Linked DNA regions of Drosophila melanogaster. The protein of the gene in region 1 interacts with the protein of each later gene in a pairwise test. Each region holds a gene or a part of one and is shown on either strand. Other genes may lie near its edges. The genes, in order: Fs(2)Ket, rtet and Jupiter.

Region 1 (5,019 bases):
TGGCGCACAGAAGCGATTGTAGATCGTTGAACTGATGACGATCGCTGTGATTGTTAATCTGCGTTTCCATCTGCATCACCTGGTTCAAGCGCTCCAAAATCACCAGCGTGGTGCGCTGGACCACCAAGTAGCAATCCAAGGGAGAGTTCTTGATCATATCCATAAGTGCCTGATAAGCAGCACATCGCAAATTGGCTTGAGCTCCGTCCGATCGATCAGTGGTCTCCAGCAACTGGGTAATGATGTACTCAAAGTACGGGGACAGGGCGTACGTCTCCGGAGTCTCTCCGTCGTTGGTGACCGCTGCCTCCCAAGCTGCATCGGAAAGTCCAATGAAGGCCCAACACACGTTGGCTGCTACACGCGGCTCTGACTTTAGGCTCTTCACGAAGCACTCCAAAAGCGTTTGAAGATATGTCTCGTTGATAGCCGCCTCGGGAATTATCTGTCAGGAAAAAGCAGTAGAAGGTTAGTATGACAATATGAATCACCTTAAAAATCACCACTACGCACATCGCAAATACGTCCGAAGGTCCAGGCGATGGTATCGCGCACGATAACGCTGGAGTCGTACATCAGTCGAATGAGCGTGGGCATGGCTTGCTCCACGAGCGGCTTTAAGGTATTGGTCTCCAATCCATTCAGCACGGAGCCGAAAGTCATTACCGCTGCGTCGCGGAATCGCCAATTAGGTGACTCGATGTTCTCCTTGATGAAGGGAAGCACATGTGGCACGATCTCGTCCTCGCAACATGTGGCCAGCACCATGAGGCAAACGGAGGCGGCCTTCGCCGGGCTCCAGGTGTCCTCGTCATCGCACTCGTCCTGCTTGGTTAATTTCTCGACGAGCACAGGCGTCAGGAACTGCAGAGCACCTCGAGCATAGTGCTTGGACACTCTCTGCGGAGCGCGGCCCTGATCAGTGGCCTCCTGGCTTTCGATGGCCAGATCTATCTCCTCATCGCAGACGTTCGACCAGAACTCTATGCCCTGCAGCGCTACAGCATCGTTATCAGACTTCATGGCCGCCAAAGTAATAGGGAAAAGAGCCTGTGCCATGTAGGGCTCCATGTACTGGTAATAAAGGGTCATAATCTTCACCAGGCACTGCAGAGCGGCAACGCAGATTTGCGAGTCCTGGCACTGAGTGGCCTCGCACACCACCTCCATGATGAAGTTGCGCTCCATGTCTTTCTCAAAGTTCGATTTGGTGAACTCCAACGAGTTGTGAAGGGCCGTGGTGGCCGCCAAGCGTACATGATTGCTCGGCTCTACCTTTCTCATGCCGTGAATAATAGCAGTCAGCACATCGTTCGACTGGTTCTCCATGACGCCGAAACGAATGTCCTGGCAAATGTAGCCAATGGCCTCCAGCGCCGACTCGCGATGCATCTCGCTGGATCCTTCGCTGACCACCTTGTTCACCAGTGTCTGGATGAGCATGGGCCAGCGGTTTATCGGCAGCTCAATCACGGCCACATAGGCCACGCACTGGGCGGCGCAGGAGGGTCGGGTGTTCTCGGTACCCAAAGCAGCCAGGATCTGAAAGTAAGTCGCAGTTATTCAGTGCCAATTGTACAAGTCATATGTTTCAACATCAGCGTATGTAACTTACGTTATTCTTGATCAACTCGCGGATCTCGCTGGGAAACTGATGCCAGCGATCCTGGTACTGTTGGCTGACCTTCTCGTCCTTGCTGGTCAGGTGGTTCTTCAGCTGGAGACCGGCTGCCATTCGCGCCACCGCACTGTTGGCCGTGTTCACCAGTATCTCTGACAGCGCCTTGAGAAACTCGGGCAGGTTGCTGGCCGCCGCCTGCTCCAGAAAGTTCTTCGCCGATAGCAGCTCATTTTTGTCTGAAAATGCGTCATTTGGTTGGTTAGACATTTTTAATTTCCAATTATGTCAACGAAAGATTTTATTTGTGGGCCTACACACGCCCACCATTTTGGGTCGGCTTAAAGCTTTGGTATCAGGCCATTGAATTTTACAACAATTGACTTTTGGGAATGTGAAGGCAAGATAGGAACTTTTAGGCAAGGCGTATATAGTGAGAATATTGTTTAATAAGAATACAATAGATGGTGAAAGAAGTGTGTGCATATGAAGAGCTAAGCAGTAAGGTCTAGTAATGAATTGTAGCGGTGGAGCATAAAATCTTCAGGCAAGGGGCAAGTTTGCAGGCATTCCTTATCAGCAACCGGAAGAACTGGCCGCCAAGCATACGGTGGTGACTCCGAAGCGACGCCTCATCGATTCCTAGAGTTAGTGAGGTTATGTCGCAGGCGGTTCGTACATCCTTAATTGTAGGAGCGCAAGCATTGCGAATACATACAGACGCGCCGCCAAGTTTCCCTTGGAGTATGTACGTGGATGCACATGTGTGCGGAGGCCCCTAGCAACCAAACATATGCGAGCGCCTATTGCAACCCTGCGCAACATATAACGCGCGTCCCTCCCGCCAATCGAAGAAAAATCCATATTTTTCGGATCTATACACACACGTTTGTAGCAGTGGGGAAACTCACCTGGCGACACCGTCTTTTCCAAAATGGCAATCAATTGCATGGCGATATCGGAAGTCATGTCTTCGCTCTTTTCCTCTCTATATGATTTCTACTTCACTTTCCGTTTCTTTCTGCAGCTCGTGCGTCTGTGTGGGTGATGGAATTTTTGCGTAATTACTAGACAACACTAGTCTGTCGGCTGCAAATGGTGGAGACAAAAGAGTTAAAGTTATTGGGCTGCTCCGCTGAAGCTGGCGATTTTATTTCGACAGGTTGCAACACCTTGATTGTCAAAAGAATTGATTTTTTCGCACACACGCACACAACAAGCGCGTTCAGTAGAACTCTTCATTCTACTCACATTGTTGTTTGGTTATTTTTCGGGAACGGTAAAAAAGCGCGGGATTCCTAACGGCGATTTTCTTAGTTATTATTATAAGCCTATTTAATGGTGGCAGAACCTTTATCTGCTCTTCGGGAAGTGCAGGCAATATATTTCTTGTGTCTCCGATTTGAAATAGAGCTGAAACGAATGTCGATTTTTATTTGATAGCACTGAGTTTCGATGAAAAAGGCGACACCTATTCGATTGCTTTATTCGAACTATCGATAATTTTTAAATCTAATAACGTATTAATTAAATATTCTTAAATGCGTAGGAAATGTGCAACCATTTGACAAAATATATTATTAGTCAGGAACGATAAGACCAAAATACTTACTACTTGTATTAAAACGCGTTTGCCTCCCCAAAAATCAATCGTTAAATTTGAATGATTGTGCTTATCGAAAATTTTCATATTCAAAGATAAGCACGGAAGCAAAACCTCGAACGAACTAAATAATCGAATACTTTGACTTAAGAGTCGTAGGTAAAAAACTAACAAATGAACAAAATTTGATTACTATATTAAGAAACAGTGGATAAAAATAGTAATATCTTAGAAGTATCACACGTATACGTGTGTATATTGGTTGCATTCGCTTACTGAACAGGGGAATTAATTAATTTAAATATAAAAGTTTATTAAGTCTACCAAATTTCGTTTTGCACGTAATAATAATAAGAGCTAAAGGTTTTCGCGGTAATATTTAGCTTTGCAAATGCTGGTAGTTTTTTTGTCAGCCAGTTGGCAGCCCTCTCAGCTGTACTAGGTGGCAACGCTGCTACAGTGCTGACGTTCGGCAAAAAAGAGGAAACGTAGTAAAAACACTCGAAAAACTCCGTATATTCCGATAAATATCCAGATAGTACGGTTTGTGCGTGGCCCGCCGATCCGGAAAGTGTGGCAGAGAATCGCGGACACGGCCACGTTGTGATTACAACCCGTACAAGTAAAGGAAGAAGGTCTGCTACTCCTGCCGTTCGTTGGTTACCCCAATTCGAGATGATCCTGCTATCCGGACTTCTGCCGCTCCTGGGCGTCGTTCTCTTGCACCTTGCGACCCCGACACAGGCCTTCTATCTGCCCGGACTGGCACCGGTCAATTTCTGCAAGAAAACCGACGTCTCATCCACATGCAAGGTAGGTGTATACGTATGTGCAGAAGTGCAGATGTACATATGTACGTAGATAGTGGGTGTGTTTGCCCCACGCCCGCCACAATTAGCAAAGGCACTGGAACTAGTTATGTACATTGGTTCTATATTCCTCTAATGGTGGTCACAGGCGGAAGCACTGATAAGCGCAGTAACTAGTTATATGTGGGGTCCATATGTGGCCCTCTATCTCAACTTCTGCTGACGTTGCCTACGCCAGCTCTCTTTCCTAGCGACAGCTAGATGGGAGTTCTAATGTTGGTTCAGCTGGCTCGCGAATGCGATTTCGGGGGCTCCCGACCTTAAGAATCTTAACATAGTGGCGGCTAACCAATAATTGAACCAGGGAACGCGGTTAGCTTGTCATGCTTCCTTGCATTATGTTTGGGTTATTTTCTTTTTAGTAATAATAGTATAACACAATAACAATATAAATTCAGGACAAAGTATAATTTTTAGTTTGATATCCCAAATAGATGGGGTTAGCCCTTTTAAAAGATGACCTAACTATTGGATGATAAAGCGTGAGCTATTGGTTTTGTTTGCTTCATCTTATCTTTAAACAAATCTAAACAACTTTTTAATATACCCGTAGGTCAAGAAATCCTAATCGGTTTATACGCCCTTAAATTAGACGTTGCCCAATGATAAGAATTAATTAAGGTGTTTCACATTCAATTGTTTCTAACAATCTAAGAGAGCTTTTTGATAAGATAAATTTCTAAGAACCCAAAGTAAAAGCAAATTACGGGGTCAAATTATCGAACGCATTTGCAAACTTTTGGAATTTTTACCAAACTTTAATAATTATTTCCACGATAAGATTAAAATACACTAGTATTATCAACAGTTGTCAATCCAATTGATTGATCTAATTCCTGATTATCTTCTTCAGTCGGAAATCTTGTTGTACGTCAACCGCTTAAACACTGAGGAATCCGTAATACCCTATGAGTACCATCACTTCGACT
Region 2 (4,844 bases), on another chromosome or scaffold:
AGTCACTCCCAATAACGTCACGTTATATTTCCAACGAGACTAGAGATGTTGAAAAATATCGGTACATCGACATTATTTCGGCGATACTTATCGATTTTCTTAATGGCGATGTAAGGCGATAGTACAATGTCACTTCTATTTTTGTTTATATGAACATTGTTTTATACTCAAAAGCTTTAGAATTAGAATTAAATTTTTTCATAATTAAAACACATTAGGTCTAGAAAATAAATCTAATGTTTGTTTCCTATTTAAAAAACTTATTTGTTTTATTTTAAAACACCAACATACTTATATCATTATCGATGTTTTCACATCGACTTGCATCACTAAATTAACGAGATGGATGTTTTAGAGTTACCAGACGGTACGACGAATTATCATGAACTGCTCTCGTTTCATCCCGACAAGCCTATCGTATTTTAAAAAAGCTGAACACATTTTCTAGGGATTATCCCTAGCCCATTTAACTTATTTCCAACTCAAAATGTCTTGAATACTTAAAACGTTCCAACCTAAACAGAATCGTTCTCCCAGTAGCAGTAACTGTTTCTAATATTATCTTATTAAAAAAATTAATTAAATAGAAAACATTTCGATCCCAAGTAAAAACCCCCTGCTTACAAATCAGAGTAAAAATGTGTTTATTTTAATATAAAATACTTGTAAAAAACGATAAATTAAGTATAATGTGCAGCTAATACTTCCGTTGATCTCTAGTGAGTTTAAAAACTCTATTCCTATTGCACTTAAATGCGAGCGCGTTGCAAGGCCATGGCTGGATAAATGAGCAGAAGTCCGCCGGCTATATAGGTGATCCTGGAGCCAACGCACCAGAAGGCTATTAAGGATTAAAGAGTTTAGAAAAGGTATAATCCTAAGACAGCTGAGGAGCTCACCAATGCATCCCACCACGGGGCCCAGAGCTCGAGCCAAAGCTCCCAGTGAGCGGAATATGCCCAGTACTGAACCCTTCTGGTCATCGTTTCCGTATTTGGATACGAGGGTGGTCAGACAGGTGACAGCGAAGGCTGTGGAGATTGCGAACAGGGTCATGCCGGCGTACAGCATCCGACTGCCCTCGGCTAGGCCGACTACTACGAAGGCGGGTACAATCAGGTACAAACTGAAGATGGCATAGCCTTTGATCTTCGCCTCGGGCAGCCGTCGGACCACCGATCCCTGCAGCAAAGTCATGATTACACCTAGAAAAAGACACAAATTTGATAGGGAATATTGTAGATTATCAACTTGCTCCATACCCGTTGTCAAAAACATCTTCGCCTGATCCATCGAAGTGTAACCGAATTTGTGGTACATCAGAAATGTGACGGTGAACTCCAAGCCGGAATACAGAAAGAGATACAAGAAGTATACCAGGCCAATGGATCGCAGTGCCGCAATGTCTTTCTTAGGCACATTTTTGATGGCAGCAAATCTGTCAGTGGGAGAATTCTTTTGAAATATGATTGTAAAATCCAGACATAATCATTGGTAATAATCTTCTAGCTAACTGGACTCAATTCCCTGTAACTACAATTAATCAAAAGCAATCTAGAATTTACTAACTGATAAGGCAATCAAACAAACGTGTCCGAGAACCCGGCATGATAATAGTGTCTATCAAACCAGTCAGGCAAGTCCGGGTGGCTTGCAGTTCTCACCGTATGACGATTTCGATTTGATCACACGACAGGTTTTCGAGACATGCTAATTAAAACATTGAATTACCTAAATATGGCCGAAAAATTGAGCAACTGCAGGCCATAAGACAGTGCAGATGATATCTCCTTAACACGTTTCTCCTGCGAAAAGGTCAAACAATTAATGGTGTTGGGAATATATTTAATTTAGCCAACCGTACGCACCTTGGGCAACGTTTCCCGCAGACAGCAGGCCAGGACCACAAGATCTCCAACTGCCAGGCCAAACGCCAGCAGAGAGGGCAACACAAACCAAGTACTTCCACTTTTATCGGAGAATATGGCGAACAGGGCTCCAATCATGGGCCCCACAATAAAGCCCAGCGAGAAGGCCACACCCACAAGGGCCATACCGCGTCCACGGGTCTTAACGCTGGACACATCCGTAATGACGGACATGCACAGGGATATGTTGCCCTTGCTAATTCCGCCCACGAAGCGGGCCAAAACGAACAGGGCAAAGTTGCTGGAGCAGGCCCAGATCAGATAGGATAACGCAATACCACTCTATAGATGAAAGAAGACGTAGCTTAAGGAAGGTTTACTTATTTGTGGCTTAGCTAAGGAGTTTGAATTTGACGAATTCCACGCTTTTGGATTGAACTCGTAATAGCATGAAATGTTGACCAAGCCAAAAAGAAAACTAACAAGACTAGTTTAGTGTTTAGTGCACATTAAAGCATTGAGCACTGGGATTACCTACCGCACAAGCCAGCAGGACTGGTTTCCGTCCGTAGTAGTCCGAGAGTCCTCCGACAATCGGACTGGCCACGAACTGCAGGAAGCTGAACATGGAGCCGAGAAAGCCTCCGAATAGCACCGATATGTAGCGATCCGGGGCGCCCAGGAGCTGCTGGAACCAGCGCACCCGATCCGTGAGCACGGCATACAAGCCGGAGCTGTCGTTCTGGCGATAGTGCTCCAACAGCGAGGGCAGCAGCGGCAGAATGATGGTGAAGGCCAGTAAGTCGAAGAGCAGCGATACGAAGATTATGTATATCATGGGATCACTCTTCTCCGGCTTTCCATTCTCCGATGCTTCCTTATCCAGCGCTTTATTGTTGTTGTGATGGTGGCTTCCGGTTTGGCTGTGGCTTTGCTTCTCCATGGCAGCGGTTCCATTGTGGCGACTCCGTAGGTCGGCCATCTTTGCTGATTTCGGGTGTTTAGCTTGTGCCGTGATTGCGTGCGTGTACGGGTGTTACTGCAACATAACTGTATCAACGGAACCACAACTCCACCGACAACTCTTGGCCCTCTCGAGAAGCGGCCAGCCAAAGCGAAGCCAAAGTGAAAGCTGAACAGCAACAGCTGTTCCAAGGCGGCCTATAACGAGCAGACGGCATTCCAACCTGTTGCTTGCTGCGGATATTTGAAATAAGGGCGCCAAAATGAGTTATTCAAACATCTGTAATTAATTACTTTTCTTATCAAAATTACCAACGAATATTATGTTGGTGAACATTACTAATAGCATAGGTTTAAGTTGTAAATATTTAATTAATTTATAAATATTTTACAAATCATTGTTTCCTGCTTAAATAGTTAAGAACCGGATTTTGATATACATATATAAATTAAGTTTATGATTCGGTAGTTTTCGCCTATTTGATTTATTTATTTTATTACAATCCTAGTGATAATATCTTTTTAAAAGATAATGCAGTCAGATATTCTCTGACACAACTTTGTATTATAATTTAAAACATACCGCTTAAAATTGTTATCGCCTAGTATCGAAAGTCAAACCTCGATAACACTTAGTAAATATTCGATATACCATACCGATAAGTCGGCGAAATAATTGCTCATTAAAGTTTGGTAAAAAGTTGTTTAGAAGAGAAAAAAGAGCGTTATAAGATGTCCAAAGTGACCGTGCAAGACATTGAGGCGGTGGACGACTACTGGGGACCAACATTCCGTTCGATCCTTGAAGGTGACTGCGAATAGAAGCAATTGGCACACTTTGTTTACGCCCATTTTCCTTTTTTCCCGGACAGGCAACAACACTAAGCAGATTGGCGACCAACTGGAGCAGCGGATACGGAGCCATGACAAAGAGATCGAGCGGATCTGCAATCTGTACTACCAGGGCTTCATCGATTCAATTCAGGAGCTGCTCCAGGTGCGCACGCAGGCCCAACAGCTGCACAACGAAGTGCATTCCTTGGACACGTCCCTTCGCCAGATCAGCGCCTCGCTGATTCAGCAGGGCAATGATCTAGTGCGGGCCCGTCAGATCGAATCCAATCTGGCCAGCGCCATCGAGGCACTCAAATCCTGTCTGCCCGCATTGGAGTGCTACATGAAGTTCACACAGCAGGCAAAGAACAAGCAGTACTACCAGGCGCTGAGAACTCTGGAGACTCTGGAGACGGAGCACCTAACGCGCTTGAAGACACACAACTACCGATTCGCCACCCAGATGCAGATACAGATTCCCATAATCAAGGAAAACATCCGTCGCTCTTCCGCCTCGGACTTTCGAGAGTTCCTCGAGAACATCCGGAAGTTTTCACCCCGCATCGGCGAGCTGGCCATCACACACACAAAACAGCTCCAAAAGCGTGATATCAACGCCATCATTGCCGAGCACATGCAGCAGATGAATGGCGGCGAAGCCGGCGGAGCAGGTGCTGGCGGGGATGATGATGGTGCCAACGTTAGTGCCCAGGATCTCATTGACTTCTCCCCCATCTACCGCTGCCTACACATCTACATGGTGCTGGGTCAGCGGGAGTACTTCGAGAAGGACTATCGTCAGCAGCGCAGGGATCAGGCCAAACTGGTGCTTCAACCGCCGCCCAACATGCACGACAATTTGGAGGCCTACAAAACGTACATCTGTGCCATCGTTGGCTTCTTCGTGGTTGAGGATCACGTTAAAAACACGGCGGGCGATGTCGTGACCAGCAGTTATTTGGAGGATCTGTGGTCCAGCTCGTTAACCAAGTTTGTCAACGAAATCAGCATGAGTTCTTCGTCCTGCACCGATCCTAATATCCTTCTGCGCATTAAGAACCTCATTATGCTGTCCATCAACACCTTTAAGTGCTACGGTTACACCGTGAACATCCTCTGGGAACTATTGCACAACATGCGGGATCATTATAATGAGGTGAACGTTAAGAAATTCTATAA
Region 3 (5,013 bases), on another chromosome or scaffold:
GAACACACACACACACACACGGCAGACAAAACGCTGCATCGAAATGCAGAGGAAAAGTATATTAATCATTTTCCCCCCAGCCGCCGGCGGGAAAGTCCAAGGCGGTATGTTACACAATCGCAATCAATGACAATGATTAACACATTTTCCACACTTTATCCCCAGCAGCCAGCCACCCATCGATGGACCATAAAATCCAGCAAATTGTTTATAATGCACATGGCACACATAAGGAAAATTGTTTCTATTTGGTTTCTGCCGCGACCAAAACTAATCTCCGATCCCAACGGCCGCGAAGAGAGGCGGGGTTCAATGTCCGCCACGGACCAGCGGACGACGGACAACGGACAAACGGACAGTTGAACGGACGGACGGACAGACGGTCGGAACAGCGGACAGGGAAGCGGACTTGGACACGAATTCAAACTCGGAACAGGTACGAGAGCGTAAGAGTGGTATACGGAATAGACATAAGCGAAAAACATTTCGATAACGATTTTGTTGTTGTTTCCCCACTCGAAAGGCGAAAAATGGGTGGTGCTGGGCACATGGGGCTTGGTCAAAGAATTGCATGCAAAAACAAATGCCGAAACTAACTGAAAAAGAAAGGCGGGCCATAGTTGAGAGAAGTCGATGGGGGAAATACCCTCGTCGTACAAGCGGCGATAAACGGTAATAATATAATGATTTATTTTTAGCGGTAATAGGACGTGATTGTTCAATAATAAACATTTTATTATATTTCGTATCATTTGGATAATGGGCGAATCTAATCAGTTTTTATGTTTAACAAATCTGTTTGATTGCCGAAAAGTGAGTTGAAGCTAAAATTGAATTTTCATAATAACTGCATAACCAATGTTTTTAGTACACCATAGGCGGCTATTATGGATTTTAGTATGCCATAAAAAATCATAAGCTTCATAACTGTAAAAATGCCATTCTACACTTTGAACTTTCAAAGTCTATGTACTAATAAAACAAGTTTTAATAAACTAAAAATAGTTTAATAAAGCCACCATTTTTTTTTATGCAAAGACTGACAGAGCGGTTTGGCAGTTACTCCTTGAAATTAAATGAAACACAGATGAAGCCGAGAAATCACTTTTGCTTAGATGTGCAAACATTATTATTATTAGTAGTAGTGTCACGTCAAATAGTATATTTCGTTAACACCTCGTAATTAAAATTGCGCATTGTTTTGATGGCACGAAAAGAGATTGTCATACGCCTCGGAGCAAGAAAGGGTATATTCCCAAAGAACGCCGGTCGGTCCCTTTGACTTTGGTGCGGTAGCATCGAGTGGACGACTGCAGTGGTGGTGTCGCGGGTGGTGCTTTGTGCGGTGGGTTGGCGTGGGGCAGGTGGCCGTTGGGTTGGCAAAGGAAAATCAATGAGACGACATCCAAAGACATGCCAACACCGGCGGCTTGGCTTGGCTTGGCTTTGCTGGGTGGTGGTGGTTCACTTGCTAGGTGGTTTCGGTTTTGTGGGAAGTAGGCGCTTGCAAAAGTGGTGCTCCCCAGATTACACATACGCCCCGTGCACACGCGACTGTATGGGTAGTATTAGTTAGTCAGTCAGTCAGGCGGCGGCGAGGTGAATGAACGCTAAATTAATCTACACACATAACCAAATGAATATGTAAGTGTGCGGTGTTTGTGCGGCCCGACAGCTCAGACAATGGGATAAAGATGGAAATGGAGATGTTGATGCAGATCACGATGAGGCTGCTGCCTTCCGAAATGTTTGCCAATCAAAGTTCACTCGAGCGATGGCAAACAATAACAGAATGTGCAGTAGGCACGTAACAGTTGTTAAACTTCAGGGAAAATGAGTCGGTCGGCGAATAACCTCAATATAAGTCAAACACATTGAGTAACATCGTGTAAGTTACGTTATTATGATACACAGATTTTTAAACAAATACAGAATATATTGATTGTCCTAGCTGTAATGATTTACATGAGAACATTATTTGTTAATAAAGAACCTACTAATCATTGTTCGTCATTGTCAAAACAATATTCCTTCAATTCTTTGCAGCTTGTCATAATTAGTGAGACTCATTTTGAATAAATATTGATAATATATCTATTTACTGAAATTACCAGCCATATGATTCTCTTTGTGCGTCATGGTGATTTATACCCTTTTAAAACCTCAGAAGATGGTTTTTGACAAAAGCATTATTAACAAAGGCCACTTTTTGTACTCGTATTAAACGACTTTTCTTGCATGGGGACATGCATTGACAAAAACTGATGAACTCCCTTTTCCGTGTAAAAATGTGTAATAAATCCGGACAACGAATTTATCGATTCATTTTTTGACATGCAAATTCTTTGTTCTGAAGTCTTTAAAAATGTCACTTTAACTGTATCCTTTAGGAATTTCTTACCTCTTCTTTGCTTTGCCAACATTGTAAAGCTCAACGTGTTTGAAAGCAGCGTAGGCGGCCATTTCTGTTTCTATTTGTTTGGCGAAAGGATAATCTCTCTGTTGAATGGATGCAATTGCTTTACTTTTCGCACTGGAAAAATCTAAGCGCACGCGGATGTGGGGGAAAACGGAGATTAGGCACGTGGGGGAAAATGTTGCAGGACGAATGATGATGACTCATAGATGGGGATGCTGCATGTGCGTAAAATCAATAAACCCTACTCAACTGCGAGAGAATGCAAGGAGCATCCCGGGAGAGAACGGACAAGAGATATGCGGAGAGGGGGGTGCAGTAAGAGCGGACAGAAAACGGACGAAATTCCTTTAGTTGGATAAGCCAGGATATCTTGCAACGTTTTCCCAACCAACTACCGAAAAAATTCCCAAAAAACACTTCACTCACAAAGAAAGCTAAAAAACTTTTGATTTGCACTCGCGTGGGTTTTTTTCGATTCGAAGGATATTTTGTTGGGATAGCAATATATATATATATATATATATATGCAATATGTTTGAGTGTGCGACCGCTGGTGATGTGCACGTTTCGATAAATGTCTGGCGACTAAAGTGCAGTGGGAAAAGTGAAAAGCATTTTATACCACGGCAGCGCGAGAAGTTTTATCGATCCAAAAACAACGACCGAAACCCAACTCACTCAGAGCGCAAAAGCTGCACGGGAAGAGAGCGGGAGCGCAAGAGAGTGAGTGCCCGCCATGTGGCGCATCAAAACAAAAACAAACTACAGCTGATGCTGATTAGAGTTGGAGCCCGCTCTCTTCCATGCTCTCTCCCTCTCTCTATCTCTCACTTGTGGGGCAGAACCCAACTCGTGGTGAGTTCTTCACTCCGCTTGTAGGTCACAAAAAAGTTTAAAATACGCCAGGAACTGAAGCGAAAATAAAACATATACTTAAGCCGTGTTTAAGACACTTGCGGGATTAACATTCTGCATTTATTTATCTCATTTTATGTGCCCCACCGGCGAGAAGTGTGCGCAGATATGCTTCAGTTATGCCGTGCCATTGCAAAAAGCGCTAGAAAAGCGAAAAAATAGTAATAGTTCAGGTCTAGTGCACTTCAGGGTTCCTATGCAATTGTTTCTTTTCTCAGCTTCTTCTGCTTGATCTTCTTCGTTTTTTAAAACTAGTTTCTCTTAAAAAAATCAAGTGCATTCAAAGTTTTAAACCCAAATGTACCCATAGCAAAAATCAAATTTATACTTTATTGAATGATTGCAAAAAATACACAATTCACTAAAATTCAACTACCAGGCTTATAAACCCAAACCTTATTATAATCTAAATCCAAGCTCTACAAACAAATCGCAGTTGAATGCCGAAAGAAAGGCTCATATCTATTTCAGTTTGTACTAAAACATTATGAACTTAGCCCCCCCCATTTCCAACACGCTTCTTATCTTTGATTACAGGGTGTGGACAGCACAGCTGCAAGGCGGTAGCAGCCCACAAACATGTTTCCTGGCCAAGATGAAGCTGCTGCCAGGCCAGACATCGGGTCTCGTGTCTACGAGGAGCTGAGGAACATTGCTTTGCCGGACATAAATCACTTTCATCATCGCCAAGCGTTCAGTTCGGTTGGGGCCAACAGCAGCAGCAGTAGCAGTAGTTGCAAACTCTAATTTCAAGTGTCTTGCCACTAATGAGGCCGCCCCTTTTGCCCCTTTTCCTGTATTTGCCACACTTGCTGCTGCTTTGCTGCTGCTGCAGCAAGAATTTAAATGCAATATGTATTTGCATACTGCGTTTTCTTGGAAAACATTTGGCACAGATTTGCACACAGAACAGGAAGCGCAAGCTAGCGACTAAGAGGATCGGGCCATGGAGCCACAAAGTCGGCGGGAAAATGAGGAGAGGGTAGGGGTGTGTTGGAAGCAGCTGGGCCAAAACAGTGGTTATTTTTAGCTTGCGAAGACACTTTTGTTTAGCCGAGCCAAAAGTTGACTGGCCGTGTCGTCGCCGCAGCCGCTGCTTCTTGCCGTTTTGCTATTTTACCATCGGTGGGTCGTGGGACTAGCTACCCACTGAGCGGTGCACGGGTTGCCAGAGGTGGTGCGGGCATTCGGCGGAGTGGTGCACATGCGGCAACCTGACACCAACATGCCACTTGCCCCCTTTTGCCGGTCGCTGTGCGCAAGTAAAAGCCTAGGCGTTATGTACTTGCCCCAGAGTTGACAGTTCAGCTAGTTTCCCATCAACTCACAGTTTATTCAAATTGTTACTGCGAGAAATATTGAAAAATATGTCAATTATGGTGTAATTTCAATTATAGTAACGTCAATTATGGTAATCTTGATATAAGAATAATCTTGAGATAATTTCTAAAATATAATATGTATCCTCTTCCTTTCCCCTTAAAAAAAATTAACAGCACCAACTTGTCCAGGAATGGAATAATAAAAGCGGGCGGGGGGAATGACTTGGAATGGGGACTGTGGGGACATGCGGTTAAAAATAGGAGAGCTCCGTCTCCTTCACCGACTTCTCTTGCAGCTCTTGCTTAATAGTTAAGTGTCGCCTGATGTTTGCCCAGGAGAAGTGCAATGGTGGAACT

What was found.
Region 2: the proteins of Fs(2)Ket (region 1) and rtet interact in a two-hybrid assay, tested with the Drosophila melanogaster proteins (one large-scale study listed by BioGRID).
Region 3: the proteins of Fs(2)Ket (region 1) and Jupiter interact in a two-hybrid assay, tested with the Drosophila melanogaster proteins (one large-scale study listed by BioGRID).

What each region holds. Positions count from the first base shown.
Region 1 is NT_033779.5:20,732,941-20,737,959, reverse strand, and holds the start of Fs(2)Ket (female sterile (2) ketel), read right to left. Parts: upstream 3,050-5,019; 5' UTR 2,870-3,049; exon of another isoform or gene 2,791-2,869; intron 2,708-2,790; 5' UTR 2,588-2,707; coding exon 2,530-2,587; intron 1,858-2,529; coding exon 1,616-1,857; intron 1,543-1,615; coding exon 514-1,542; intron 446-513; coding exon 1-445. Other genes in the region: TM9SF2 (transmembrane 9 superfamily protein member 2), read left to right, coding at 3,897-4,034, 4,944-5,019.
Region 2 is NT_033777.3:21,106,613-21,111,456, reverse strand, and holds rtet (tetracycline resistance), read right to left. Parts: upstream 3,012-4,844; 5' UTR 2,851-3,011; coding exon 2,407-2,850; intron 2,211-2,406; coding exon 1,869-2,210; intron 1,806-1,868; coding exon 1,732-1,805; intron 1,439-1,731; coding exon 1,263-1,438; intron 1,206-1,262; coding exon 900-1,205; intron 842-899; coding exon 750-841; 3' UTR 623-749; downstream 1-622. Other genes in the region: Sec15 (secretory 15), read left to right, coding at 3,564-3,639, 3,704-4,821.
Region 3 is NT_033777.3:11,601,741-11,606,753, forward strand, and holds the start of Jupiter (jupiter), read right to left. Parts: upstream 3,015-5,013; 5' UTR 2,846-3,014; intron 2,544-2,845; 5' UTR 2,464-2,543; coding exon 2,402-2,463; intron 1-2,401. UniProt on the Drosophila melanogaster protein: Binds to all microtubule populations.